Linked DNA regions of Mus musculus. The protein of the gene in region 1 purifies or fractionates together with the protein of each later gene. This does not show direct contact. Links are inferred from orthologs where the notes say so. Each region holds a gene or a part of one and is shown on either strand. Other genes may lie near its edges.

What was found.
Region 2: the proteins of Cbx3 (region 1) and Adnp purify together in Homo sapiens (affinity purification with mass spectrometry; 7 studies listed by BioGRID and IntAct, with this or other methods). This does not show direct contact. The link is inferred for Mus musculus from reciprocal best matches to the Homo sapiens genes CBX3 and ADNP.
Region 3: the proteins of Cbx3 (region 1) and Suv39h1 purify together in Homo sapiens (affinity purification with mass spectrometry; 3 studies listed by BioGRID and IntAct, with this or other methods). This does not show direct contact. The link is inferred for Mus musculus from reciprocal best matches to the Homo sapiens genes CBX3 and SUV39H1.
Region 4: the proteins of Cbx3 (region 1) and Max purify together in Homo sapiens (affinity purification with mass spectrometry; 3 studies listed by BioGRID and IntAct, with this or other methods). This does not show direct contact. The link is inferred for Mus musculus from reciprocal best matches to the Homo sapiens genes CBX3 and MAX.
Region 5: the proteins of Cbx3 (region 1) and Adnp2 purify together in Homo sapiens (affinity purification with mass spectrometry; 3 studies listed by BioGRID and IntAct, with this or other methods). This does not show direct contact. The link is inferred for Mus musculus from reciprocal best matches to the Homo sapiens genes CBX3 and ADNP2.
Region 6: the proteins of Cbx3 (region 1) and Zfp644 purify together in Homo sapiens (affinity purification with mass spectrometry; 3 studies listed by BioGRID and IntAct, with this or other methods). This does not show direct contact. The link is inferred for Mus musculus from reciprocal best matches to the Homo sapiens genes CBX3 and ZNF644.
Region 7: the proteins of Cbx3 (region 1) and L3mbtl2 purify together in Homo sapiens (affinity purification with mass spectrometry; 5 studies listed by BioGRID and IntAct, with this or other methods). This does not show direct contact. The link is inferred for Mus musculus from reciprocal best matches to the Homo sapiens genes CBX3 and L3MBTL2.

The regions. Positions count from the first base shown.
Region 1 is NC_000072.6:51,469,297-51,473,427, reverse strand, and holds the start of Cbx3 (chromobox protein homolog 3), read right to left. Parts: upstream 2,813-4,131; 5' UTR 2,689-2,812; intron 2,177-2,688; exon of another isoform or gene 1,918-2,176; intron 1,613-1,917; 5' UTR 1,584-1,612; coding exon 1,560-1,583; intron 1-1,559. Other genes in the region: Hnrnpa2b1 (heterogeneous nuclear ribonucleoproteins A2/B1), read left to right, coding at 3,752-3,757.
Region 2 is NC_000068.7:168,183,070-168,186,631, reverse strand, and holds part of Adnp (activity-dependent neuroprotector homeobox protein), read left to right. Parts: intron 1-1,459; coding exon 1,460-3,562.
Region 3 is NC_000086.7:8,071,918-8,075,957, reverse strand, and holds the start of Suv39h1 (histone-lysine N-methyltransferase SUV39H1), read left to right. Parts: upstream 1-1,197; 5' UTR 1,198-1,395; coding exon 1,396-1,414; exon of another isoform or gene 1,415-1,820; coding exon of another isoform or gene 1,821-1,842; intron 1,843-3,489; coding exon 3,490-3,635; intron 3,636-4,040. UniProt on the Homo sapiens protein: Histone methyltransferase that specifically trimethylates 'Lys-9' of histone H3 using monomethylated H3 'Lys-9' as substrate. Also weakly methylates histone H1 (in vitro).
Region 4 is NC_000078.6:76,938,248-76,941,809, reverse strand, and holds part of Max (protein max), read left to right. Parts: intron 1-1,719; coding exon 1,720-1,843; intron 1,844-2,295; coding exon of another isoform or gene 2,296-2,380; exon of another isoform or gene 2,381-2,641; intron 2,642-3,054; coding exon 3,055-3,242; 3' UTR 3,243-3,562. UniProt on the Homo sapiens protein: Transcription regulator. Forms a sequence-specific DNA-binding protein complex with MYC or MAD which recognizes the core sequence 5'-CAC[GA]TG-3'. The MYC:MAX complex is a transcriptional activator, whereas the MAD:MAX complex is a repressor.
Region 5 is NC_000084.6:80,148,674-80,152,905, reverse strand, and holds the start of Adnp2 (activity-dependent neuroprotector homeobox protein 2), read left to right. Parts: upstream 1-1,423; 5' UTR 1,424-1,540; exon of another isoform or gene 1,541-1,544; intron 1,545-4,232. UniProt on the Homo sapiens protein: May be involved in transcriptional regulation. May play a role in neuronal function; perhaps involved in protection of brain tissues from oxidative stress. May be involved in erythroid differentiation.
Region 6 is NC_000071.6:106,693,973-106,698,299, reverse strand, and holds the start of Zfp644 (zinc finger protein 644), read left to right. Parts: upstream 1-1,469; 5' UTR 1,470-1,768; exon of another isoform or gene 1,769-2,066; intron 2,067-2,081; exon of another isoform or gene 2,082-2,502; intron 2,503-2,600; 5' UTR 2,601-2,657; exon of another isoform or gene 2,658-3,163; intron 3,164-4,327.
Region 7 is NC_000081.6:81,666,835-81,670,396, forward strand, and holds part of L3mbtl2 (lethal(3)malignant brain tumor-like protein 2), read left to right. Parts: intron 1-324; coding exon 325-562; intron 563-1,795; coding exon 1,796-1,929; intron 1,930-3,292; coding exon 3,293-3,416; intron 3,417-3,562. UniProt on the Homo sapiens protein: Putative Polycomb group (PcG) protein. PcG proteins maintain the transcriptionally repressive state of genes, probably via a modification of chromatin, rendering it heritably changed in its expressibility.

The DNA.
Region 1 (4,131 bases):
TGTAACTACAGATGCTACTTAAAAATTTTTTAAAGGAATCACAAAAATAACCCCCTATCAAATGCCTAGTCCCTCTAACCATCACCAAGTGAAGGATCACGCAGGAAAAAAAAAATCACCAGCAGCACCTCAGAACCAGGATACTCAGTCCATCAGCATCCAGGGCCATACCCACACTCACAGCATCTCCACAGTTTACCAGATGATTCATGCTTATCACTGTATTGGGTCATCTAAGAGTGACCATCAGGGCTTCTGATCACAGAATCTAGTCCACTTTGCAGACCAGTTGAAGTCATGCACTATATGAGATAGAAATACCCTCTTGCTCATTTTGGTCAGAAATTCAAGGATAAAAACCCATGTTTTGTTAATGCACACCTCCATATGATTGAGATCAATGTGTCCTAATTAATGTAGAAACCACAACTGTAAATTTCACTCTTTTGACATGAATCTTTTTCTAGACAGGGTCTTGGATGCAGCCCCGACTACCCAGAATTTTGGAATCCAGGCTAGCCTCAAACTCAAGGCAATCTGCTTGCTTCAGCTTCTCACAGGCTGGATCACAAACATACACCTTCAGACCCATTTTTTTTTCCTCCCTCCGTTTTTGGTTTCTCTGTGTAGCCCTGGGTGTCCGTGGACTCGCTGTGTAGATCTATCTACCAGCCTCTGTCTTGGAGTACTGGGATTAAAGTTGTGGGCTACCACTGCCTGGCTGACCCAGTTTTATTTATTTTAAATATAACTTGACAAAAATAAATTTGTCTAACTTACTAGAAATCCCAAGAAAACTAACACTGGATTTAGCAACAGTCAGAAATCGCTGAAAAGAAACAGAATTGATCTAACAGTCTTAGATCACTCCTAGACAGTTTGTAATTCTTGCTCATGGCAACGTGAGCTCTATCTAACTCACTCTCTGTGCACTAATGAATGCTCAGTGTCTCCAGAACAGCACAGCTTCCAGGGTAATCATGCCAACCCACAAGACTTTTATAGAGCTGTCCACGACTCTTCCCCCATTCAGCTCATTAACAATATGATGGAGCTCCTGTGTGGAAATCAAGGCACACTCTGGTAGAAACTTGTTTTTTCTTTCCACTTTTCCTTGGGCTCTGAAGATTGAGCTGTTTTATAACCCACAAACATGCATTTTTTACCTCAAAAGCATCCAGCAAAAACTGTACAACGCTTTTTCAAAAAAATGTATTGTGATCCTCCTTAAGAAAAGCCTTACTTAGTGTTAATTCCTTTTTCTTTAGAATGCTGGTAAATACAAGGACTTAGGTAGGCTGGCTTCTAACAGCAATTCACCCACTTATGATGGGATTAAAGGAAGGCACAACCATGTCCACCACAGGTTCTAGCTCCCCCACCCACACGCCCAGAGAGGGTTTTTCTGTGTAGCTCTGACTATTCTGGAATTCACACTGCAGACCAGGCTGGTCTCGAACTCAGAGATCCACCACCACATGGTTTCTTAATTGTAATTTTAAAGAAAAAAAAAAATCCTTCAGTTAAGATTCTTATGTTCTAGGTTTTCACAAACTTACCAATGTAGTTTTATTGGAGGCCATTTTTTAAATTTAATCGGAGACTTGAAGAGCTATTGCAAGAAAAAAAATGTAGGACAGTTAAAATTTCATGACACACAAAAGGCAGCTACAAGTTTTGTGTGGATTTCAACATGTAAATTTCGGGTAAAAATGCAGGAAAACAGTTGAGTTCCCGTGTTATTAGTATGTTACTAATAATTTCAGTATGTTAGTGAAAATAATCTTACTAAAACACTGGTACCTCAGACAACTTTACATGGTGAGGATTGTTACTTTCCCAATCCATATAGAATTTTAACAATTTTAGTGTTTATTTTGGATGAAAGGAAATGACTATCTTTTGTTAGCAAATTACCATAAGATCTTTTTCTTTAGATTTCTGAATACTCCAAGGAGCTCATATAATTCCATCCTTATTTTTTCAGAGGCCCTCCCTGTTCAATCACGGTATAAAAAAAGGAACACATTAAGATGTCCCAGTCCTATTTTCTGGCTTTTTTTTTCCGGGGGTGGTGGTGCGGTAATCACTCTCTATAGTCCAGTCTGGGCTTCAACGCCTGGCAATCCCCAGCCTCAAGCTCCCAAGTACTGTCCTGATAAGGATAGAAGGAGTCGACCTCCTTCACGCTCCCCTCCGAGGAGGGCTCCTTCCCAGCTCCATTCCCCGGTCGGGAGCCCGTCCCCCACCCGAGAGCGCGGGCCTCGTGGTCAGCGCCTCCGCGGGGAGAAACAAAGGCGGCGGCGGGGGCTCAAGGGCACTGCGCCACGGGCCCGCGCCTCCCCCATCCGGCGGCGGCCACGTAGCCGGGAGCGCGCCGCAGCCCGGAGCCTCGGGCCTCGCAGCTGCAGAGCCTGAACCGCTCTCTCCCTGCGGGCCTGCGACGAGGCTGGGGGAGGGGAGGCCCGCGCTTTGTCTGGAGTCTCGGTAGCTGTCATCCGGCTCCCACCCTCATGCACAATTGTCCCATCTCCCCCACGCACCGGCGCGGCGCCCGCCTCAGCGAGGCCCCAGCCGGTTTCCCGCAGCCCGCGGCCCACGGGGCTCGCAGCCTCCCCGCAAGCTCGGACGCACGGAGCATCCTAAACCCCACCACACGCAAGATCGAAAAAAAGCAAAGGCACGAACTTCACCGCTCCGATGCTCAGGGCCGCGGATCCTGCAGAGTCTCCCGCCTGCGCGCTTCGGTTCAGCCACATCCGAGGGGAGGGGGCGCGGGCAGCTCCGCCGGGGGGGAGGGGGAGCACCGCCCACGCCCTGGCCGCGCGGGGCCCGCCGGGAACGCGTCCTGCGGGGGGCGGCGCGCGCAATGCTCACCGTCCGCGGCGTGGCGCCCAGGGGGTCTCCTGGCTGGGGGGAGGGGGGGGAAGGCGGGCAGGAAGGACCGCGGAGGCCTCTCTGCGTCTCGGAGCGCGCCAAAGCGGGGCTCCACCCACCTCCTTGCCCGGATCTTGAAGGCCGGGGAGATAAACAGCGGGGTTCTTTAAGCACCACCTCTCACTAGGCGCGGGATCCCAAGGCTTGTGGCATCCGGGGTGGTACTTGGACTAAAAGTCCTTCTGGGAGGGACCGAGTGAGAACCCCTTTGGGACGTGTAGAAATATTTGTGTGGTTCGAGAATATTTGTGCGGACGGGCTTGGCAAAGGCGTAGCTGCAGAGAGCACGCTTGGGTGGAGAGGGCCGCACGCCCCAGCGCCGGCCTAAGCCCCTCCCGACGGCGTTATTTCAAACTGCGCGACCGTTTCTCCGCTCCCTACGCGGAGGTGGGGGCCGGACCTAGTTCCGGACGTAGTAACACGCCGAGCGCGAGCCTTCCGCAATTCACGGAACACAGTTGCGCAAGTGATGTAAAGCAGTCCCGCTGTACCTAAAGGGGGAGTGTCACGTACTTGGCGTAAGGAGAGTGTAGGCCCTTCCCGCCATTGGCGGCGGTTAGGGCGTTTACGTAACGGCGTGACGTAAGCGGAGACGCGTTAGTGGGGGGAAGGTTCTAGAAAAGCGGCGGTCTCGGCTCCAGCGGCAGTAGCAGCGGCGCCGGTCCCGTGTGCAGGAGCTCCTTTGCGGCCCAGTTTCTTGGCCATCGCCTGCTCTCCCCACAGCGCCAGGACGAGTCCCGTGCGCGTCCGTCCGCGGAGGTCTTTCTCATCTCGCTCGGCTGCGGGAAATCGGGCTGAAGCGACTGAGTCCGCGATGGAGGTAACGGGTTTGAAATCAATGAGTTATTAAAAATGGCATGGCGAGGCCGTAGGCACCGCAATGGAAACCGGCCACCCGCCTCCGTGGTCCGGCGGAGGGGATGCGGCCACTCGAGTGGCGGTTGGCCTTGGCGAGTTTCTGAGGGGTCGTTGGAGGAGGCCTCTGATTGTCCGACCGCCTTCCCCGCCCTCAGCCGCCCGGCGCCATTTCCCTCAGTTGGGGTGGGGGATGGGAAGTGCCCGCCGCGACCGGGCTGGACCGCTAAAGTAGCGCGTGAGCGGGCCATCGCTGGCCTTTCGATGTGCGCGGGCCTAGGGGCTCGGTTGTGTTCGCGGCGGAACGTTTCTGGGGCCCCCCCGGCTTCCCGGAGCGAG
Region 2 (3,562 bases), on another chromosome or scaffold:
AGAAGAGATTCTCAGCTCCTATTCTAATGCTGTGTTTGTATTTTTGAACTCTACTTAATGTCCTAGGAAGAGGTGTTAAGCAGCATTCTTACATCTGAAGGCTTTCCTAGAAAAGTTTGGTTCTGAAGATAAGGTCTCTAACCTTGGCTGTACTAGAACTTAGAGATCCACTTGTCTCTGCCTCCCTTGCACTGAGATTAAAGGTGTGCACTACCATACCATCTGAGGAGCTTGAAGGGGACACAGGCAACCAAAACTACTTTTGGTTCCAAATAGTTCATGAAAAACTAGAGAAAAGATGATGGTTTATCATGTATATATTTACCTGTTCTTGGTCAGTTCTGAAAGCTGATCTCTATTATCATTGTGCAGTAGTGCACAGTGGCTTCTAAACACTTTGCCCTCTGTCTATAAGGCAGTCATAGTTAACTTCTTAGCTGGATTAAAACAGCTGCAACTTCAAAGGCCATTTACTGGTTGGTTGGTTGGTTGGTTGGTTGGTCGATTTTTTTTTTTTTTTTTTTTTTTTTTGAGATACTTTCTCTATGTAGTCCTGGCTACCCAGAGAAAAGATGTGCACCACCATGCCTGGCTTTTAATTGGCAGTTTGGGGGAGGGAGGGGGAGATGTATAATGAATGTTTTACTTGAGTGGGTGTTTGTGCTCTGTGCATGCTTGGTGCCCTCTGAGGTCAGAAGAAAGCACAAGATGCCCTGGAACTGCACTGTGGATAGTCATAAGCTGCCTTGCAGTTGCTGGGAACCAAACCCAGATCCTCTTTAAATACAACCAGTGCTCAACTACTGAGCCATCTCTCCAGCCTTCATTGACCTTTTGTGAAACTGTTTTGCCAGAGAAGAAACAGAAAGAGACCAATGTTCCCCCCGGAACCTTTTGATCCACAGCGAAGTCTAAATAAATACTGCTGTTAGAGTGAGGAAGAAACTTCTTTTGAGATTTTCTTTTTTCTATGCAAATTGTTGGGTGATGAGAAAGAGAGCTGTTTGCCTTCCGTGTTGGTCATCAAGGTCTGCGTGCATTGCAACAGTGTCACCTGTGAGTTCCTGTGTCTGAAGCCGAGAAGATCCACAAAATGAGGCTTTTCCATAGTTGGTTTGTGTTTTTAACAAGAAAATGGAGAGGCTTTTTGTTTGTTTTTGTTTTTGTTTTTTTGCCTCTGACTTCTCTCTGAAACCAGCCAACAAGTACAACTAGCAATTTTTAAAGATTTAGCAAGAACTTGCACTGAGTTTTCATTTACAGGAGCACAAATAAAAATATTTGATTCAAAAATGCATCTGAGTTCTTTTAATTTTTCCTGCAGGAGAAACCTCTAAAAGTCATTGCCTTGCAGAGTTTCTGGGAATGCCTGGGGGAGGAGCCTGGAACTTGTAACTGCTTGCCTTGAGTGGCCTTCTCACTCTGGTTTCTGTTCTGTTTTGTTTCGTTTGTTTTTTAGGACTATCGGACAAAACCTTTTTGCTGCAGTGCTTGTCCGTTTTCCTCAAAATTCTTCTCTGCCTACAAAAGTCATTTCCGGAATGTCCATAGTGAAGACTTTGAAAATAGGATTCTCCTTAACTGCCCTTACTGTACCTTCAATGCAGATAAAAAGACTTTGGAAACACACATTAAAATATTTCATGCTCCAAACTCCAGCGCACCAAGTAGCAGCCTCAGCACTTTCAAAGATAAAAACAAAAACGATGGCCTTAAACCTAAGCAGGCTGACAATGTAGAGCAAGCCGTGTATTACTGCAAGAAGTGCACTTACCGAGACCCTCTCTACGAGATCGTCAGGAAGCACATCTACAGGGAACATTTTCAACACGTGGCAGCACCCTACATAGCAAAAGCAGGAGAAAAATCACTCAATGGTGCAGTCTCCCTGGGCACAAATGCCCGAGAGGAGTGTAACATCCACTGCAAGCGATGCCTTTTCATGCCCAAGTCCTATGAAGCTTTGGTACAGCATGTCATTGAGGACCATGAACGGATAGGCTATCAGGTCACTGCCATGATCGGACACACAAATGTTGTAGTTCCCCGAGCCAAGCCCTTGATGCTGATAGCTCCCAAACCTCAAGACAAAAAGGGCATGGGACTCCCACCACGAATCAGCTCCCTTGCTTCTGGAAATGTCCGGTCGTTGCCATCACAGCAGATGGTAAACCGATTGTCAATACCAAAGCCCAACTTAAATTCAACGGGAGTCAACATGATGTCCAATGTTCACCTGCAGCAAAACAACTATGGAGTCAAATCTGTGGGCCAGAGCTATGGTGTTGGCCAGTCAGTGAGGCTGGGACTAGGTGGCAATGCTCCAGTTTCCATCCCTCAACAGTCTCAGTCCGTGAAACAGTTACTTCCAAGTGGGAATGGGAGGTCTTTTGGGCTAGGTGCTGAGCAGAGGCCCCCAGCAGCAGCCAGGTACTCCCTGCAGACTGCCAACACCTCTCTACCCCCAGGCCAAGTGAAGTCTCCCTCTGTGTCTCAGTCACAGGCATCTAGAGTATTAGGTCAGTCCAGTTCTAAACCTCCACCAGCCGCCACAGGCCCTCCTCCAAGCAACCACTGTGCCACTCAGAAGTGGAAAATCTGTACAATCTGTAACGAGCTTTTCCCTGAGAATGTCTATAGCGTTCACTTCGAAAAGGAGCATAAAGCTGAGAAAGTCCCAGCCGTAGCTAACTACATTATGAAAATACACAATTTTACTAGCAAATGCCTCTACTGTAATCGCTATTTGCCTACAGATACCCTACTCAACCATATGTTAATTCATGGTCTGTCTTGTCCGTATTGCCGTTCCACCTTCAATGATGTAGAGAAGATGGCAGCACACATGCGAATGGTTCATATTGATGAAGAGATGGGGCCTAAAACGGATTCTACTTTGAGCTTTGATTTGACATTGCAACAGGGCAGTCACACCAACATTCATCTCCTGGTGACCACATACAACCTGAGGGATGCCCCGGCTGAATCAGTTGCTTACCATGCCCAAAATAATGCCCCAGTTCCTCCAAAGCCACAACCAAAAGTTCAGGAAAAAGCAGATGTCCCGGTTAAAAGTTCACCTCAAGCTGCAGTGCCCTATAAAAAAGATGTTGGGAAGACCCTTTGCCCTCTTTGCTTTTCAATACTAAAAGGACCCATATCTGATGCACTTGCACATCATTTACGAGAAAGACACCAAGTTATTCAGACAGTTCATCCGGTTGAGAAAAAGCTAACTTACAAATGTATCCATTGCCTTGGTGTGTATACTAGCAACATGACAGCCTCAACCATCACTCTGCATCTAGTCCACTGCAGGGGTGTTGGAAAAACCCAGAATGGCCAGGACAAGACAAACGCACCTTCTCGGCTCAATCAGTCTCCAGGCCTGGCCCCTGTGAAGCGCACGTATGAGCAGATGGAGTTTCCACTGCTAAAAAAGCGGAAGCTGGAGGAGGATGCTGATTCCCCTAGCTGCTTTGAAGAGAAGCCAGAAGAGCCTGTTGTTTTAGCTTTAGACCCCAAGGGTCATGAAGATGATTCTTATGAGGCTAGGAAAAGC
Region 3 (4,040 bases), on another chromosome or scaffold:
GGAAAAGGTTTAACATTTGAAATGTAAATACATAAAATAACCAATTTTTAAAAAAAGGAAAAAAAAAGAAAATCTAAAAAAAAAAAAAAGATAAGTCAGGGAAGCATTTCATGATAACTACTGATGCCCAAATTACTTTAAGCTGATATTTAGTGAAATGGATTTAGAAAAATAATTGATGGGCCACATTGAAGTTTGTGTAGCACGTAACTCTGTCCTCCTGCTGTGCAGTATAGGGTTTCTCATGTCTTGTTGACACTAGAGATATGAATACGTCTGTAAATCTGTAATAATTGCACTTTGCGAAATCCTGGCTCTTTCTAACTCTTCTGGTATATGTGCGTGTTACTGTGGACTGTGTACGTGTGCATACACATATGTAGGCTAGAGGTCAACAGCAGGCATCTCCCTTGATTGTGATCCATTTTCTTTTTAATTCTTATTACATTTATTGGGTGTGTGTATGTGTGTATGCAGACACATATGTAGGTCAAAGGTCAATGGTAAGCATCATCCTTGATTGATCTCATTGTATTTTTTTTAATATTAAATTTATTTGGGGTATGTGTGTATACACCTACCAAAGTGCAGGTGTGAACAGAGGACAGCTTACAGGAATGGGTTCTGTCCTCTAAGAGCAAGCTTGGGGCTCCTGTCTCCCTCCTCCAGCACTTTGTCGCTGGGTGTGGCTCTTACATGGGTGCTGACAATAATTTGTCCTGACCTAATCCCAGTCCACTTCGGGACATGGGTGGCCATTGGAGTTTGAGACGTCTCCTTCAAGGAAGATGGAGAAAGGGCTGCCTGGCTAACAATGTGATGGGGACAGTTTGAGGGAATAGCAGGCTGCCTGACAAGGGTTGTGCTTCTATGAACTCAGACGGCTGCAGGGCACAGATGGATGCTACTATTGACTGAGTGTGAATGAAGAAGCGAGTGATGGAAACGGACATCTGATGGCGGCGACCGACTTATTATTTATTTCAATCAGGTGACTGGCTGAGCACCTATATATATGGCTCTAGGTCCACCCTGGCAGTGAATGCCTGCGCGAGGTTAAAATAAATGACTGGCAGAATTGGGGTTGCACAAAACAAGCCCTTTATGACTGGCTGACGCCGCGATTGGCTAGCAATATGACTGACAAGGGGCGGGTCCTGGAGCAAAGGCAAGCTTTGCTACTGCGCAGGCGCACTCTGAATAAAGGCAGCGAGCACGGGCTCTCGAGACCACTCCTGGTGACGGGAGGAGTCCAGGCACAGCTCCGCGGTTGGTCCGAGCCGGAGCTGCGAGCGGCGAGGAGCGGCCAATCGACTGCGCGTCCCCGGCCACGCCCGCGCGCGCTCTCTTCTCGCGAGGCCGGTTAGGCCCGAATGTTGTTAGCTGTGGAGAAAGATGGCGGAAAATTTAAAAGGTGAAGCTGTGGTGCTAGAGACGCGAGCTACTGGCCCGGCCGAGTAGAATGGAGGGAAGGTGGCCGGGGCTCCAGGCCAGGCGTCCGGAGCTACGGAGCCTGGAGCTGGAAGGCCGGCGCGGCAAACGTGGGGGCCGAGAGCGCGGGCCCGGCGCGCGGGCAGGGCGGGGCTGAGGGGAGGGGGCGCGTGCTTCGGCCGCGGGGGGCGCGGGGCTGCGCAGGCCGCGCGCGGGGTTTCTCGGCCGCGCGCGGCTGGCCGGCGCGCCTACGCGCGTGAGAGAGAGTCCTGAAGGAGAAGGTTGCGGCCACGCGCGGGAAAAGGCGGCTCTCAGTGACCGTTACCCTTTCGGTTTCCACGGGAGACGCCGGAAGGGGAGGAAGAAGTGGAACGGACCCCCTTCTCAAAATGGGGGAGCCGGCGACTCTAGGTGGGAAAGGGATCGAGGCGAGATGGGGGCAGGGTTTTCGGGTAGACGAGTCTCCCCGGAAAGCGGGACTTGGTGGGGGGGCCTCGGTGAGAGGAGGGCTCGGCTCCTCCATGTGCAGGAAAAGAGGGGTGACTTGTGCGTGCTGGGCGGGCTCCTCGGCCTCGAGTAGAGCGCTGAGAAGAGATTCCACAAGTGTGAGCCGGAGCTGCGGTGGGGAGGAGTGCGGCTGCTGGCACTGCAAATGGTATTTGCAGGCCACTTCTTGGGGCTTTCAAAGGCGTTCCAGACGCAGGTTAGAGGCTCCGGGAACCGAGAGGCCTCGGAGGAGAGGGATTAGTCTCTGCTGGGCCTTGGATAAAAAAGGATCAGTGTATATGTACGCAGTGATCTTTTTTTCTTTTGAAGTGTTTGTGTGTTCTTAGGTTACCATCTAGAGCATCTTATTAGGATTGTTTTAGATTTGAGTCGTATGATGGGAGGAGAAAAAAACCATCCTTAAAAGATGGCATTGGCTACTGACAGCATACACCTAGCATCAAGTGGTTTTGTGACATATTTTGATTTTTTAAAAATGGCTTCTAAAATTACGTTGAAGAAGGGATGTGCTCTGAAGCAAAAAAATGTGTATACTTTAAATCCGCTTCTCTTGAACAATAATTTTGGTGACCAAGAGTCATTGTCGGGGCTTACCTACCACATGTATTGTTTACATGTTCCTGAATTGAGAGCAGATCCCTTCGAATTGAGTTGTACTTTTCACCCCCGAGACAGGGATTTTTTTTTTCCTTGAGACAGACTACGGCTGTCCTAGAACTCAGAGATCAGCTTGTCTCTGCCTTTCCTGGGTCTAAAGGTATGCACCACTATGCCCAGTTTAATGTAATATCTTTCTACAATCTTTATAATTACAAAACCTAAAGTCCTTTGAAATAAAAGTCTTTCTTAAATGTGTCACTAATCATGGCAAGGGATTTTTAAAAGTGAAATTATTCAGTGAGAATATTTAATGTGAAAAATCAAGGCTTTTGCTATAGATGTGTTTGCTGTTAATGTGTTTTGAGTATAGATGGCTTAATGTCCTATGCCAGGAATTCGCCTAAAATTACTTGTGTAAAATTCCCAAATGTTTGAATTCCAAAATCCAGTGGCCCAGGAGTTTCAGATAAGTGAAGACTTTATAGCAACACCTCTGTTTGTTGCCCTAGGGATTTTTGTCCTACCCTGACTCTCTTAGTTAACGCACCCCAGTCTTTTGCAAAGTGCAAAGAGCATTGCTTAAGGCTCTGACCGAAGGTAAGTCTGCAGGCAGCTTAAGGCCTTGGATGTTCTGCCAGTGGATCCCTTTATGGACGGGCCCATTGCTACAAGCGCCACTTCATCCTTGCCATTCCAGAGTTAGGGGGCCAGAGTTTGGAGTAGAAGATTCTCCCAGATGAGGGCATAGGTCCTCTGATAGGAGAACTGGACCCTTCCATGTGCAGGGAAAGACAGGTTGATGCTTCCTGGTGTGTAGGCTTATTTCCAGGTGTTGCCCTGAGAATTGAGCATTAGGGTTCAAGGAATTGGCACTTCCTGTTGCAGAGGATCTTAGCTTTGGGTAAGGCCCGTCGATTACATTTTTGTGAGTCTTTGGCCTTCTCATTCTAGGTTGCAGTGTGTGCTGTAAATCTTCTTGGAATCAACTGCAGGACCTGTGCCGACTAGCCAAGCTTTCTTGTCCTGCCCTTGGTGTTTCTAAGAAGAATCTGTATGACTTTGAAGTTGAATACCTGTGTGATTATAAGAAGATCCGTGTAAGTCTGGTGTGAGTGTGTGTGTAGAGAGAGAGAGAGAGAGAGAGAGAGAGAAAGACAGATACTACACTGGCAGGGGACCCTCTTCTCCACCAACCCCACATCTGTTTGCAAAGAGGATTTTTCTCCTCTGATTCTTCCTGGGGGGAAATAGAATGAATTGACCCTCTTATTTCCATTTTACAGGGAGGGAAATAAAGTGGCTTTCTCAGAGAACAAGAGGCAGAATGAATCCTCCAATGCATGTTTGTTTCCACCTAGAAATACAAAACTAGTTACCAAGTTGATACTTTGTGCCTAAGAGTGGAAGTAAAAGATGGCAACAGGTAGAGTGCCCAACCATAAACAGTTACTGATGCCACAGAAGTAGTAGCAGGATAGTTAGAGGAGCCCACTGAAAGTAGC
Region 4 (3,562 bases), on another chromosome or scaffold:
CCATTGTCTACCACACGGTGGGTTGTCACTCCCAGAAGCTGCCTGTTGAGTGACATTTATAATCTGTTAGTCAGTACACTTGTCAGCACTGCCTGTGGCTTGTCTGCATAGAGATAATACTTATCTTCTCACTAGACAGTAAGTAAGCTTATGGGTAAAGAAGCTGTGACTAATATATTTTGTTTCCCCACACTGTGCCTTGTATATAACTCTTACCAGATAATGGTTGACTATGAATGATGTCTTGAGCAGATCACTTTGAGGGCACTATGAGAAGAAAGCCTGGAAAGTGTAATATTCCCAAAGACGGTAGAAGTTCAGGCCTTGTACACCTCACTCCATCTGTCCTAAGGTCTGTAAGTTGGTCATTAGGATTTTTAGTATGGTAAATTGAGATTTGCTAGTTTGAAGACTGGTGTGTTCTTTGCCTTCCCGTCACTTTTTTCTGGTTGTTTTGGAGCACTAGGCTGAGAAGCAGAATTGTCAGTAATGATCCTTTTGAGGGCAAAGCTTTTGAGTGCTCAGACTCTGGAAGGAGCACTAGACTCTGGGCTACTGTGCTGCCCTGCCTTGAGCTTATATGTGTAGCAGTTGATGTGTAGAGCTGGTGCCCTGCCTCTACCTCTGGCCATGTATGTAGCCTGTTAGAAATCTTCCAACAAGTGTGATGGATGCTAGGAGCATAGTAAACACTAACCTGTTGCTGCTTTGTTGACTTATTTATTAACGTGGTTCCCTGATGAGCCAGGCCCACACAGCCTGCTATAGTTGTAGAGGTGTGGCTATTTCCTGGGATGTCTCAATTACTTATCCTTCCGGTGTTGACATCAAGTACTTACAGCTTTCATGCTAATCTCTTTAGACAGGAGGCAAAAATGGTGATACAACAGCAGTGTTGTTCACTTGAGCCTCCTTACCAATAGTCTAAGGGTTTGGTGAGGTCTTAAGACCATGATGGAAAAAAATGTACCCACTTTCATTCCAAGCCAGGTCTACTCCAGCCCTTGGTCTTGTCATCCTGAACAGCCTGTCCTAGCAGAGTCTTTGTGGCCTGAGCTTTTCTTTCATTATTTCAGATGCAGTTGAACTGTGTCTAGTATTTACAAATCCCTGGGTTTAATCCAGAGCACCATATACAACTGGGAGTAGTTATCCCGACACTTGAAAGCTGGAGTGGCATACTCAGCCACAGAGTGAGTTCAAGACCAGCCTGTCTCAGGCATCGGCAAGCTGAAGACTTTAAAAAGCCAGAGGGTTTAGAGTGTATGTAGCTCGTGGCTGTAATCCCAATACTTGGGAGACCTGCTTGCCTGGCCTTAAAACCCCGTTTCAAATAAATAAAAGCTATAAGAAAAAAATCCAGAGAGGGGCTGAGAGGAGTACAAGTTGAAGAGTCATACAGACTCCAAGCCCAGGCCATCCACAGACTAGCTGGTGGTTTTAAATAATTGAGTGTGGCTCTCTGAGACCTGGGTTCCTGGTAGAGCTCCTGAGACTCCATGTAGGTAAGTTCTGTGAGTTGCTTGACACTTTGGGATAAAGACCATAGCTAGCCTTTACTTTTTTACTCAGCCTTTTCCATCATGGCCACCCACCTGTTTCCTTTCTTTCCCTCATGCTGTTGCCAAAGAAGGGCATGGTTCTCCTACTATGCAGACTTGGTCTTTATTTTGTTCTGTGTTTTTTTTTGTTGTTGTTTTTTTTCTCATATTGCATCAGGCATCCCGGGCCCAAATCCTAGACAAAGCAACAGAGTATATCCAGTATATGCGAAGGAAAAACCATACGCACCAGCAAGACATTGATGACCTCAAGCGGCAGAATGCTCTTCTGGAGCAACAAGGTGAGCAACCAAGCTCATGGGGCAACTGGCCCTGCTGTGCCCCGCCAGGCGGGGGCTTCCACACCTGGGCTTCCGTCAAAGCTAGAGGACTATGCCTCAGAAGCAAGCTCAGCCTGGCTCTGCAGGCCTTGCAGTTGAGTGTTAGAGCCTCCAGTGAGGAGACGGAGGAGCTAGGGATTGGACATCCGAAGGCTTGTATCTTTTCTGGCCTGACCTCTCCCTTTCTCGGGGCTCAGGTTCTCTGCCTACAGTAAGGGTCACACCTGGTGTCAGGTATCTGAACAGAGCTTTGAGGTCCTTGCTGTAGAATGTGCCATGTAAGTACCAGATTCTCCAGGAGTTCAGGGACAGTGAGCCCTCCCCATTGTCAATAGTAGTCCAATCAGGGCAGCCTATGGGCCAGGCCCCTGCTGTTCTCCAATGCTCACACCCGCCTTTTCCTACAACCACAGGGGAAAGCGAGAGCTGATCAAGTTCTTTGTTCCTGGGGAATTCACTTCTCTTCCTCCCTCATGGAAGATGCAAGTAAAAGGAAATGCAAGTAACCGCCTGGGTTAGAACATCTCACATAAAATAACATGAAGGGTGACCCTCCAGGCTCGAGCCGAGCTCAACCAAGGGATGGGCAGTGGGCGGCGGCAGCGGGTTGGATGATGGGCCAAGCAGCCTGCATGTAGGGGTGTCTGTTGAAAGGCCCAGGTATTTTGTGTGTATTGGTGACTTGCTTCCAAGTGTCCAGCTTGTCATTCCAAGTGGATTTTGTTCATGAGAGCCAACCAAAAGTTTTCTTTGACCCAATCTATTGTGTCATCCTTTCCTGCTATCATTGGGCCTTCACACCGTCATGGAGCCTAGCTTTGCTAGGCTAGCTTCTTCTCTGTCATTGCATTGCTCAGTCCAACAGGGAACTCTTGCTCTGGTCTCTATGCTGGGTCCATGGCAGGACGGTGTCTCATCACAAGCCTTCTCTTCAGGGTGGTATGGCTGTGGCTGGCCATGTCTGCTGGGCCCCCAAGCCCATCTGGGAAAGGAAAAGGGGGACGGAAGTGTGCAGGTGGAGCAGCCACCGGAAGGGAATGACTTCTGAGCCACCCTGTGCCTTGGGGTCCAGCAAGCAAACCCTTAGGAAGAACAGGCTGGACCCTGAGTCTGAGACTTGGTTGCTCCGGATCTCCAGAAGGTGGTAACATGCTCCCTTGGTTGCCTTTTAGTCCGTGCACTGGAGAAGGCAAGATCAAGTGCCCAACTGCAGACCAACTACCCCTCCTCAGACAACAGCCTCTACACCAACGCCAAGGGCGGCACCATCTCTGCCTTCGATGGGGGTTCAGACTCCAGCTCAGAATCCGAGCCTGAAGAGCCCCAGAGCAGGAAGAAACTCCGGATGGAGGCCAGCTAAGCCATGCGGGGCAGGCCAGCAATAAAACTGTCGACTCTCTCGTCGCATCCTCCTTCTGTTCATCATTAGAACCCTCAGAACCATTGAGAAGACTCTTTATTTTCCTTTTCTCTTTATTAATTGTTATTTTTGCATAGAAGCTCTTGGACAACAGCTCTCATCCCCTTCCCTGTGTCCACTATTTTTAAATGTATTCCCTTCAGGGGTTCCTGTCCCCACCAGAAATTTTAAACCAAAACACCCCAACTTGGCAGCTCTTTCTGTGGAGGACAGACGGCCGGCCAGACCTCTGAGTACACGGTGTCCTGCCCACCCTACCA
Region 5 (4,232 bases), on another chromosome or scaffold:
GGCAATGCCTGAAGTTGAGGAGTCAAGGGCAGGTGAGAAGAAAGGACAGAGACTTTGAGAAATGGGAAGAAGTGAGATGAGACATAAGGCTGTAGCTAACTTTTCATCTCACCCACGATTTCTCCAGGGAGATGGGTAGGAACAGCACGCTCACTTGCTGCTGTAATTTCACAATCAAATTAAGCTACAACTTATGACTAAATAGGACAGGCCAGCTCTATTTCAGTTATGACTTGTCTTCATGTAGGAAATAAAAGGTTGTGGTCAGTATCACCAGCTCAACATTGGACACACTTAAAACTGATATGGTCACTTACTGAGTGTCTATTATTTCTAGTAACTGGACCAAACTGAACAAAAGACAGACTAGAAAATGGTGACGTTGAGGCAGGAGGATAAGGTTTCAGATAGGGTAGAGCAAACACGGTGCACACCATCAGCCTGGATAGAACCTAGACATGGTGATGGCAGTTGATGGAGCCCAAGTCTTGGTTTGGTTTTATGGACCTTCTGTGGAAACAGGGTTGATGAGGGCAGTGGTTGTCAGACTGGGAAATGTCTGGGATCCATAAGGGGCGGGGATAGAAGACAGGCCTGTTAAAAGGACTGCAACACATTTTAGAGTATTTCTATTTGTCTTCTCCAAAAGTCCCTGCTGAGCCTCTTGCTGCATCTAGAGCAGACAGGCTTTCTGTAGGGGTGGGGTGGGGTTGGCCTCTCCATGGTTGAAGACTCAGAAAACAATTTGAAAGCTCCTTTTCCATGTACAATCCAACTTGAGAAACATTCTACCATTATGCAAATACATGCAATTAGCTCTCTTCTCTCACAGGGTGGTATGGATGTAACTTTAATTCTCAAAAATTCTCAAAAGGTGTGACACAAATTTTCTTAACAAGAATGATGACTCAGGAGATCCTATCCGGTTGGCTCACCAAGATCTGTCAATCATAGGCACACTGGTCCAAGTTCCTAGAGTTTAAGTCCTATCCTCCAATAGCAAGCCAGTATCCTCAGGGCTGGCTTCTTATTGGCTTGTAGGTATGGGCGGGGCCACCCACTTGGCTTCCACTGGCTCCACCCCCATTCCATGCAAAAGAAGTCAGAGCTCTGGTGGACTCATGTGATTGGTCATGTGGTCGATGACGGCCTCGCCCCACCCCTTCAATGACGTCACCACCTCCTTAAACTCTCTCTCGAGAGCTTGCCCAGAGGGGGCGAAGGCTCTAGACCCAGGGGGTCCAGGGGAGGGGGCTGCGGTAGGCCCCACCCCCTCCACAGCCTCGAGGCCTGGGGGCTCCAGGGGCCCTGAGGGGCCCGGGAAAAGAGCCCAGGGGGTCCCCAGGCACACTCTACACCCATTGGCTGGCCTCGTCGGCATGCAAATGAGGCGACGTCACTTCCTGAGGCAGCTGAGCGCCATCTTCTCTTTCTGGCGCGCGGGAGGAGGGACGGGCGCGGGGCGGGGGTCCCGCCGCGTAGGCGGAGGACGCGGCGGTGTTGCGACGGCGGCGGGACGCGGCGCTCCTCGCGCCCCGCGGTAGGTACGCCCGCCAGGCCTGCGCCGACCCCCCGACCCTCCCCGCGACCCACCCGCCGTCCACTCCTGGGTCCGCCCCGACGTCCCTAGCGCTGTCCGCTGCGCTGTCCCCACTGTGGCCTGTCGCGCCGTCGCTACCTCCGCGCCTTCGGAATCCCGGACCTTCTAGTGCGCGGCTCGGGTCCCCTCCGCGCCCGCTCGCGGGTCACGTGGGAGTGGGGCCGTTCTGGGGGGGGGGGAAGGGCGGGGACAGGGGACGGGGAGGACGGAGGGGAGGACGGAGCAGGGAAGGGGGACCCGTGGAGTCCGGGCACGGGGAACAGAGCGGGGATGGATGGGGAGAGGGGGCGGGGCAGGGACGGGACGCCGGGCGTGGCGAGAGAGAGTGGTTGGGAGCCGAGGGAGGGTGGGAGCGGACACTACCGGGAGGCGCGGGGAGGCTCTGCGGTCGCGGGCAGGGCGCCCCTCTGCGGCGTCCCGGGAATGAAGCTGAAGCCTGAAGATCATCCCGTTGTGGAGGATGGCGGGATGCAGGGCAAGCTTGTGGCCGCTTCTGAAGCGCCGAGTTTTCTTCCGAAGGAGAGGCTTGGTTTCAAGCACTGCCGAGGGCAAACCCCTGCCTCTTCATCCCTGATACTGCGGCGATCGTGACCGATGCGCAGATGCTGAACGTGAAATTTAACTTTGCATCTGCCATTTTAGAGGGATCAAAATAGGTTCTATTCGCACAATTTCTACAAAGGTTTGAGTTGGTGTAGTGTTGTAAAACAAGATATAAATTTTTAAGTATGCTTGACTTTGAACCAAAACTCGTGTGAGTGTGGTGCTTAAAGTTAATGCGATTAGGAAGAGCGATCACTCCCGAAGAAGTAACCAACCTGGTACATTAGTGTACATTAGTACCGACAGAACCTTTACCTGAAGTGTTTTGCTAGTTCGGGGCTTGGACTGGTCCAGTCTGCTGTGGAAATAGGGGACAGCATGTGTAAGAAGTTATGGAAAGTGCGATGTTAAGCTCTGGTTGATAGTTAGGCGTATTGCCTAGGGCTATCACAGGTGGTGGTGATATTGGCCACATAGCGATGTCTTGGGTAGATGGAGGCCCTGCTCAGAAAAAAAGCGTTGACACAGTGGTCCTTAGGTAAAGGTCCTTAAGCACAAATTTGTACTTAGGATAGGCAGGAAATGAAGTCATTTCAGGCTATTTTAGGCATCTCGTTGAGAAATGGGAGGAAGAGAGGTCTGGGTCATTGGCCTGAGGGGATAACAGTTAATACAGTTTTTAGCTTGGGATTTGCCGATACCGTTTTCATTTGAAATCAGGTTTTCAGTGTACTGTTGCTCCATTGGTGGTTGAAAGGTAGGGCTTAGCTTTTCCATACTGCACCCAAATCCTTGCTGACCTGCTATTTAGAGAAAGCAGATTGATGAAGGTCAGGTGGCTAGAAAGGGGTTTTCCTGTGGGTTGAAGCAGACTTTCTGGATTACAGTGTTTGGAAGTTGCTAAAAGAAAGTCCTAGTAGTTGGGGCATCTCGCTGAGTTTTTGATTTACATTATTCTAAACTCCTGATGATACGTGTAGTGCTTTTCCAGTGTTGTCATCTCGACAACTGCTCATGAAGTAAATTCCTTGCATTGTTTCACAGATGCAGGCAACTGAGGCCCAGAGAGATTCAGTGGTTGGCTAGGTTTACTCAACTATAAAGTGCTTGAGTTGGTTTCATCCACGAAAAAGCCCCAGGACCTGTGCTGTGACCCTTGCTGTGTTGCCACTGGAGATTGACCATTTTAAAAATCAGATCTTGCTGGGCATGGTGGCACATGCCTTTAATCCCAGCACTCAGGAGGCAGAGGCAGGTGGATCCCGGAGTTTGAGGCCAGCCTGGTCTGCAGAGTGAGTTCTAGGGTCACCAGTGCTGTCTGGAAAAACCAAAAACCAACCAAACAAAAACCCAGAACAACAAACAAAAACCTAAAACAACAAACAAACAAAAACTAAAGCAAAACCCAGATTGTATAGGAACAAAAATGTTTTGTGTCTTAAAGGGATTATCTGGTCATTTAAAAAAAATGTATATGTGTGCCTGTGTATTGGTATGTGCGCATGAGTGCAGGTGCTTGGAGAGGGGAGAAGGCCAGGCTGGGTCCCCTGGAAATAATGGCTGTTAGCCAACAATCATTGCTGCTGGGAACCAGACTTGGGTTCTCTCCAAGGGCAGTCAGTACATGAACTTAAACACTGAGCCATGTCCCCAGTCCTTTACGTTTCTTCCTGACTACCTAAACATGAACTGAGCAAGGACAACACTGGACATGCTAAAGTGGATTGGTGCGGGGCTGGGGAGGTAAGGCCTCCACAGGCTACTGAGGGGGTGGGAGACATAGTTCTCCTCAGGGAAGAGCATACTGATTGGTTATTCATAACAAGTGGTCAGTCCTGAAAACATACATAAGGCAACATGCAAACCGATCACGTTGTATTTAGGAATATATATACATACAACAGTTTATGAAAAGTGCTATGAGTTTGGAAGAGCAAGGAGTGGACTATGGGAGGGTTTGGGGAGGATGGGAAAGGGAGTGATGTAATTATATAAACGATAAAGTAATAAAGGACATAGTTATCAGAACTATCCTTACACGGGCGTGATACCAAAGCAATGAAAGGATCTCCTTAGGAAATGCTAATTT
Region 6 (4,327 bases), on another chromosome or scaffold:
TATATAATCTGAATACACACACACACACACACAAAGTATCTGGAGATCCCATACATCGATATATTTTATATATCTGAAATGTGCCCTGAAGTATGCAAGGCTTGGTTCCAGGTGATAGGCCTTTGAGTTCTGCAGGTTAACAGACCTGGTGGGTCAGGAGACATGGCTCACTGGCCAAGAGTACCTTATGTGCTTGCTGGGGACTCAGGATCAGGTCCCTTGTGATATTTCCACATGATGGCCTGTCATTTGCAGCTCCAGTTTCAGGTCCTTCCTGAGGCTCATTTGGACTCTGTGGTACCAGGCATGAAGCATGCGGTGCACAGCCATACATTCAAGCAAAACCCAAACTCATGAGATGAGAATAAGTCTCTAAAGTGCATCTCCTCCAAGCAGTTGGCTGAAAATGGACACAGATTTATTTGTTGTGTATCTATCTATTCGTATATATGAAGGAAAGCTTTCATTTTGAAACAGCTCAACAGTCTAATCTCTCTTTGCCACTTTAGGTTGTAATGAACTTGAACAGGTGACAAGAATGCCTGACACACACACAGCATGAACTCTAGTTGTCAGCAGTTACTAGCAAGCGAAATAATTAGAGTGGATAGTGAAATGTTCGTTCTTTGGGATACATTTGCTGCTTCTGAAGGCACCGTTTTTCAGGAAAGATACTCCCATTCTTGACAAATAAATGTAATTATGGTGTATTCCTGTGAATGTTAATAATATCTCGAAGGCTTGGAGGTGCATAGTTCATGATTACTGCTTAACTACTAAAAAACGTTTTAAAGTTTTTCATGAGAAAAAGTTCAGCGAAACCAAAGAATTTAGTAAGGCAGGCCCATCAGAGTATTCTAGAACGTTTAGCTCACCTTCAACAGGTTAGGAACTTGTTGACTCGGTTCAAAAGCAAAGCGAATACCTCTAATTAGTGCGCTGCTTCCCTCAGAAGCCCATGGCTGAATGCTTGTTAAAAGGGAGATTTAGAAGACCCTCTGGGGAATCTATTGATTACCTGAAGAGTTAACCAGCATTTCTGACGTCTCTTTGCATGACTCCAATTTGGACAATCAAGGCATGTTCCTTAGTGCAGAATCTGCCCTTGCAGAGTCCAAGGAACCCAAATCCGGGCCTTCTTTTTGGGTGTCTTGTCTGGGTAACTGAATTTCTATACCTGATGCTTTTGCCACCTGGCCTGTTTAACATCATAAAACCTGTCTGTGCCAGTTCTCCAAGGTAGGCCTGATATATGTTGCTGGTTCTTTCAACAGCTGGAAAAGGGAACAGGTTTTTGGCAAACTAGCGATTGCAGACACCAGAGATGGGCCTATTCCACCTTAAAGGGCCTAGGCATTCCTGGTACTTGGGTCTTGCAGAGTTTGGTCGCCACCATATTTGGAGCGTGCCTACTTTGGGGCGGGAACCTCCTCCGGAGTGGTTAGGTCACCGCTGGGGGAGGTGACCTTGTTTGGTTTTGGCACGGGAGAGCAGCGGTGCAGCGTTGCTGCCGCCCCCCGTGGGTCTGATTGGCACGGGAGCTCCGGCGGCCCGAGAGCACGGGCGCGCCTCGCTGGCTTCCCCCGGCGGCCGGCGGCCAGGCAGAGGCGGGAAAGCCGCGCGCCTGCGCCGTGGGAACCGAGGCCGGAGGCGAGAAGCGGGGAGCGGAGGGGGCCGTTGGAGCCGAGTAGCGTACAGAGCGGCGTGTGACGCGGGGACGCCGCGCGCTCCCAACGTCGCCCCGGTTTGACGCACACGGCACCAAACTGTGAGTTTCGGGGGTCTTATTCGGTCGGATTAGCCCCGGCCCCGGCCGCGTTTCGGACGTCCGGGCTGAGGCGGTGGCGGGACTGAGGGTGGCGGAAGAAGTTGTGGGGGGACCCGGCCCGCGGCGCTCGGGCCCGGGGAGCTACGCCCTAGGCTGGCTCCCAACCCTCGGAAAGGACGCGTTTTGCCGCACAGGCTAAGATGGCGGCTGCTGCCGAGGAGGCGGAGTTGCTGCTGCACAAGGAGCCCGGGCCGCGGGGTCCGGGAGGCGGCGGTCGCGGGGGGCCGCGGAACCTTAGGTGAGCGGCGGCGGCCGCCGCGGGGCGGGACTCGGAGGCGGGCGCGCGGGGCGGGGGGTGCCTTTCCGCTGCGGCGGCGGCGGATCCGGTGGCGGACACAAAGGGGCCGAGCCGGGCTCTGGACTCGGGGGGTTTTGTTTAGTCACATGTAGCGGAGCAGCCAGTGAGCGGTAGGGGGAAGGGGGCCGAGACCCGGAGGTCCGGGGAGCCCTGCGGTCGCCATTGTAACTCCCCGAGTAACGGGGGCGGTCCGAGAGCAGTCAGGCGGCGCCCCGTGCGCGGCTAGGCTACTCTGTCCGGGCCTGTAGCCCCGGCCCTGGAGGTAACTGTCCACACCCCTCCCCTGACTTTGGGACCAGAGCGCATAGCCTTCCCCTTCTTCCCACTGGTCTGCAACATCTTGTGCCGCTAAGTGCCTGAGAAGTAACTCCAAGAGGTAAAAAAAAAAGAAAAAAAAAGAAAAAAAAACACTCGAAGTGTTTGGGTGGCCACGGGGCTTGGTGGGTATCTAGCTAAAGCTTTTTGCCTCTCCAGGTCTGATTCCCTGGCCTTTGTGTCCCTGGGAGCTTAATCTCTGCCAGAGGAAAGCAGGTGTGTGCTCCGTCCACTCCTCCCGAGAACATGAAGATGAGTTGTCCCAGACCCTTCCCCGTGATTGGAAACTTAGGTGGTTTCTTGTTGCGAGACTTCCACAGACGACTCTCGTGTTGGGATCCATCCATGGTTTAGCGACATTAGTGGAAAAGTTCTCTTCAACTGTTAAAATAATACTGACTTAAATGTAGTTGTTATAAAACTTTCGTATTAGCTTTCAAATTTTATGTGATAAAACTCAACGAGGGGATGCCCACGGCTTGTGGCCCTGAAATGATGTTGGTCCTGTTGTGTGCACAAGTTAATTTCCACAGAAGTATCCAAACACCATCACGTGTTGTGGCCAGTCCTGACTGATGCCAAGTTTACTGCATCTGGGAGATGTGTTGGATTTGCCTTAATCGTGTTGTAGTTTAGTTAATTTTGGCCCCACGAAGGAAAGTGTTTCAGAACCTAAACAACTAAAGTTCCCCAGATCAAGAAAACCTGCTTCAGGGCCATGTGTAAGTATCTAGGGAACTAGGTGTCAGCTATACAGCTGTACCTTATTTCCAGTAGGTTTGGTAAGAAAGAAATGGAGATTCTATATTGAAGTTATAATTCAGTGTAGACCTTTAAACTGGTGAAACCTGAGTGCTTGACTGGTACTAATGCAGTTTGTATGTTGCTGTTGAAAATATGGCTGTAAAAAGTTTTAAGTACTTTATATTGTGTTTGCATCATGCATTGTATTTCAAGTAATACTGAAGTGTGAATTCCAAAAGAGCTGGTGCCTTGTATGTGCCATTAATATAATCACATGAAGGAATATTACACCTTTAGATCTTTGAATTTTTTTTTTTTTCTTTTTTTTTTTTCTGAGACAGGGTTTCTCTGTATAGCCCTGGCTGTCCTGGAACTCACTTTGTAGTCCAGGCTGGCCTCGAACTCAGAAATCTGCCTGCCTCTGCCTCCCAAGTGCTGGAGTGCTGGGATCAAAGGCGTGCACCACCACCGCCCAGCTAGATCTTTAAACTTTTTAACATTACTTAAAACTTTAGTTTTCCTCGTTTCTTAGCTTTCTTTCAAATACAGAGAAGTTTTGTATTAGGAGGCAGGAGATATGCTAACAATCAGATGTGTCCCCTGGATCATACAGTATTAGAAAGGAAGATGGCCAAGAGCTACTGTTCTTACTCATGGCCTTAGCCCTGTAGTGAGCGAGTTAATGCTGGGATGGAAGACGGTCTCTAACTCCTACCCTAGTTCTAGTTTTGTTAGCACCTGGTAGTGGTTTTAAAAACAAGGGGCATTACTGAGCATACCCGTTAATTAAAGTGTCATTAGTGAGACCTTCTGAGACAATACATTTAATGTTATGTAATTTTTAGCAGTGCTGCTTATGTATATATTTTGAGCACTTTCCAACACTGACATGACCCAGAAATGTAAAAGTTAAAAACAAGGAACATGCTTGATAACTAATCTTGGAAAGTTGGAGATAATTGCTGTTACTGCTGCGAAAGTCCAAGGAATGTTGAAGGCCACGCTAGTATCTCTCACTTGGTAATGCCATTTTGTTGGATAAACACATAGGCCTCTCACACTACTATTTAAGTGACTTTTTAAGACCAGCTACTGCTAGTACAAGTCTTAGGAAATGCAACAAGCGGTGAGATCACTCATGG
Region 7 (3,562 bases), on another chromosome or scaffold:
CTGGGATTTGAACTTCGGACCTTCGGAAGAGCAGTCGGGTGCCCTTACCCACTGAGCCATCTCACCAGCCCCGTATATTGGTTTTTCATGCCATGATTTCTTTGTGTAGCCTTGGCTGTCCTAGACCAGGCTGGCCTCAAACTCACAGAGATCCACCTGCCTCTGCCTCCTCACTGCTGGGATTAAAGGGGCGTGCCAGCCCCCCACCCCCAGCTCAGTTAAGAGTTCTTGCTGCTCTTTCAGAGGACCAACATTCAAATCCCCAACTCATGCTGGATGGATTAGCCAGTTTGTAACTTCTCGTTCTTGTCGTTTTCCCACTAGGAGGCGCCATCTTCAGAGCCAATGGAAGAGGAGGAGGAAGATGACTTGGATCTCTTTGGGGGCTACGACAGCTTCCGGAGTTACAACAGCAGTGCGGGCAGCGAGAGCAGCTCCTACTTGGAGGAGTCAAGTGAAGCAGAGAACGAGGACCGGGAAGCAGGGGAGCTGCCCACCTCACCTCTCCATCTGTTCAGCTCTGCGAACAACCGCTCCTTGGATGGAAGTGGTTCTGAGCCAGGTGCTTTCCCAGTGGCCTGAGATGGAGAGGAGGCAGGAGGAGGCTGTGGAAGAATTGAGGATGTGGGTGGAGACAGCCAGATGTCTAAGGCACTGTCCTTGAGGGTCGTTTCCTCTCTGCAGTCTAGTTTTAAAGTCTTATTCTCCAAAGCCTCTTGAGTTTATTTGGCACTTGTTAAATTCTATTACATTTGTATGACTAGGCTGGGCAGTCCCTGAGTCTGGGTATGAAGACAGTGAGACTCAGTGGTGTGAGTGCTTTTGAACAGAGGAACAGGAAATAGCTTGTGGGCTGACAAGTGTGGGGTAGGAGGTGTACAGGATAAAGTGGTCTTCAGGTCAGAGGGAGGCACAGAGAGGGAGGCACGGAGGTGGGCAGAAGGGCGTGGCCCTGAATCATCTGGAAGCCAGCTGACTTCAAAGAGGTAGCACTTGGATGGCTGCTAGACCCTGTGTGAGGGCGGCCAGAGTGTGGGCCGTGTGTCCTTGAGAAGAGGCAGGCTCCAATCTTAGGACTGTCCCACCCCCTCCCATCCCTTCACACCGGCACTCTTGGGCCGGGCCGTGTGGCCAGCTTTCCTTCCACCCATGTTGACTTCTCCTTTTCGTGTCCTTTTCCTCTTTTTCCTCTTTCTTCCTCTGTCTTCTTCTCACCCTTCTCTCAGAATCTGAGAGCGTCAAGACTAGCAGGAATCATTAGGGAGAGCATCTGACCCCAGGGGCTGGTTTATAACCCGGGCTGTAGATTAGCGTCATCTGGGGAGCTGGAAAGCCCATCTGGGAAGCCCTTCAGATGGCTGTGTCCCTGGAGCCCAGGGCATGGCAGTCTCCAGCCTCAGCAGTATACAGAAGGCTCCTCAGGTGATCTAGTGTGAGGTCAGACAGCACACCTGCCCTCTGGTCACGCTCCTCTCTCTAAAACTCGTTCATGTGGATCTCCAGTCCCTTAGCCTCAGCTCTAGGTACAGAGCCTACGGAGGTGCCTAGGTGGAGGGGCAGACACTTGGAGTTCTGCTGCTGGCGAGGCTGATGGTGGAGGGTCAGTTGAGCCTGCAAGTTTGAGGGCAGCACATACTGAGACTTGCTCTTGGAAGAGAACTCCATCCACTGCTCACGCCCTCCTCTCTGTCAGCCTCAGAGCCTGACACTCACATGGTTGATGCAGTGCTCTGGAAGGTTTTGCTTGACTTAAAGCAGTTATGTCAGGGAGTCACATGCTGAGTTCTCTTCCTAGCTGTCTGTGAGATGTGTGGTATCGTGGGCACAAGAGAAGCTTTCTTCTCAAAGACCAAGAGGTTCTGCAGCGTCTCGTGTTCCAGGAGCTACTCCTCCAACTCCAAGAAAGCCAGTATCCTGGCTAGACTACAGGTGAGAAGAGCCCCTGACACCCATCCTGGGGCCTGGATGCTGGGCTGGAGCCATCATGTGACTGGAGGTGAACGGCTTAGCCAGCTTGGGGGACTTATTCCTAGAGGTCATCTGAGGTACATGAGACCCTCCCTCAAAGAGTGGCCCATATTTATTTATTTATGTTTTATTCATTTTTGTGTGTATGAGTGTTTTGCCTGAATAAATGCCTATGCACTACATGCGTACAGTGTCTGAGAAGACCAATAGAGGGTGTCAAGTCCCCTGTCAAGTTGGAGGCAGTTGTAAGCCACCATGTGGGTGCTAGGAACTGAGCTTGGATCGGCTGGAAGAGCAGCCAGTGCTCTAAGCAGTAGCCGTCTTACTAGGCCCCTTACATTATTTTTGAGACAAGGTTTCACTGTGTGACTCTGGCTGACCAGACTGGTCTCAGACTCACAAAGAGCTGGCTACCTGTGCCTCCTCACTGCTGGGTTAAAGGTGTGCCCTCCCACGCCCAGCAATTCCTGTTTTAAAAGGCCAAAGCTTTTGGTGTCTTTTAAGGCAGTGGTTCTCGAGTTTCCTAATGCTGTGACCCTTTAATACAGTTAGTTCCTCAGGCTGTGGTGGCCCCAGCCGTAAAATTATTTTCACTGCTACTTCATTTCATAACTGTAATCTTACTACTGTTTTGAATCATAATGTAAGTATCTGATTCACAGGATATCCGATATATGACCTCTTTGAAAGGGTCGCATATTCAATCAAAGGGGTTGAGACTCACTTCCTTAAGGTCAGACTTTACGCAGCTGTGCCTCCACTTGGCTGGTGTGTTGCCTTGACTCCTGGCCTTGGCCTTTATCATTGGAGCTTAGTTGTCTTATAGGTGTGGACGTGAGTGTTCCCTGAGATGCCCAGGAGAGGCCCTCTGTATGTTCTCTCCAGAGCATTTACACGTACAGGATGTTGTCTCCGGCTCTCCCTCAGTCACTCAGCTTAGCTCTCCATGAGCCGGGAGCATGGAGGGAGGGCAGTGACTGCAGTGAGATGTTAGGGAGAGCTCAGAGGCCTGAGTGACATGTGTCTGTCAGCTGCAGCTCTGCTGACCCCAGCCTTCTGCAGGTGTCTCCTGAGTGTTCTCATTCATCATTATGTTTACAGAGGAAACTCAAGCCCAGAGGTTAGATAGCTGCACCAGGAGCTCACCCTCAGGAGTTCCTTACTTGGCATGGTGGCTTATGCCTGGGACCCTAGCACTCAGGAGGCTGAGCACAATAGCTGCAAATTTAGGCCACCGTATCTCAAAAGAAATAACAAAGCAAAATAGAAACAGATTCAAGTTCATAGTCGACAGTTCGTTTTTTTTTTTTTTTTTGCCCTGCAGGGAAAGCCACCCACCAAGAAAGCCAAAGTCCTGCACAAGGCAGCCTGGTCTGCCAAAATTGGAGCCTTTCTCCATGCCCAGGGAACAGGACAACTAGCAGATGGGACACCCACTGGACAAGATGGTGAGACAGAATCCAGGGATGGGAGACTAGGGTGGAGATGGCCTGCTGGGAAGTTGGGGATCCAGGTCTACAGTGAACTGTCTCCACCTGCTGGCTTCTGTGGAAATGACCGTAGGCACTCCTTTGAGTGGCTCTATTGCCTGCCT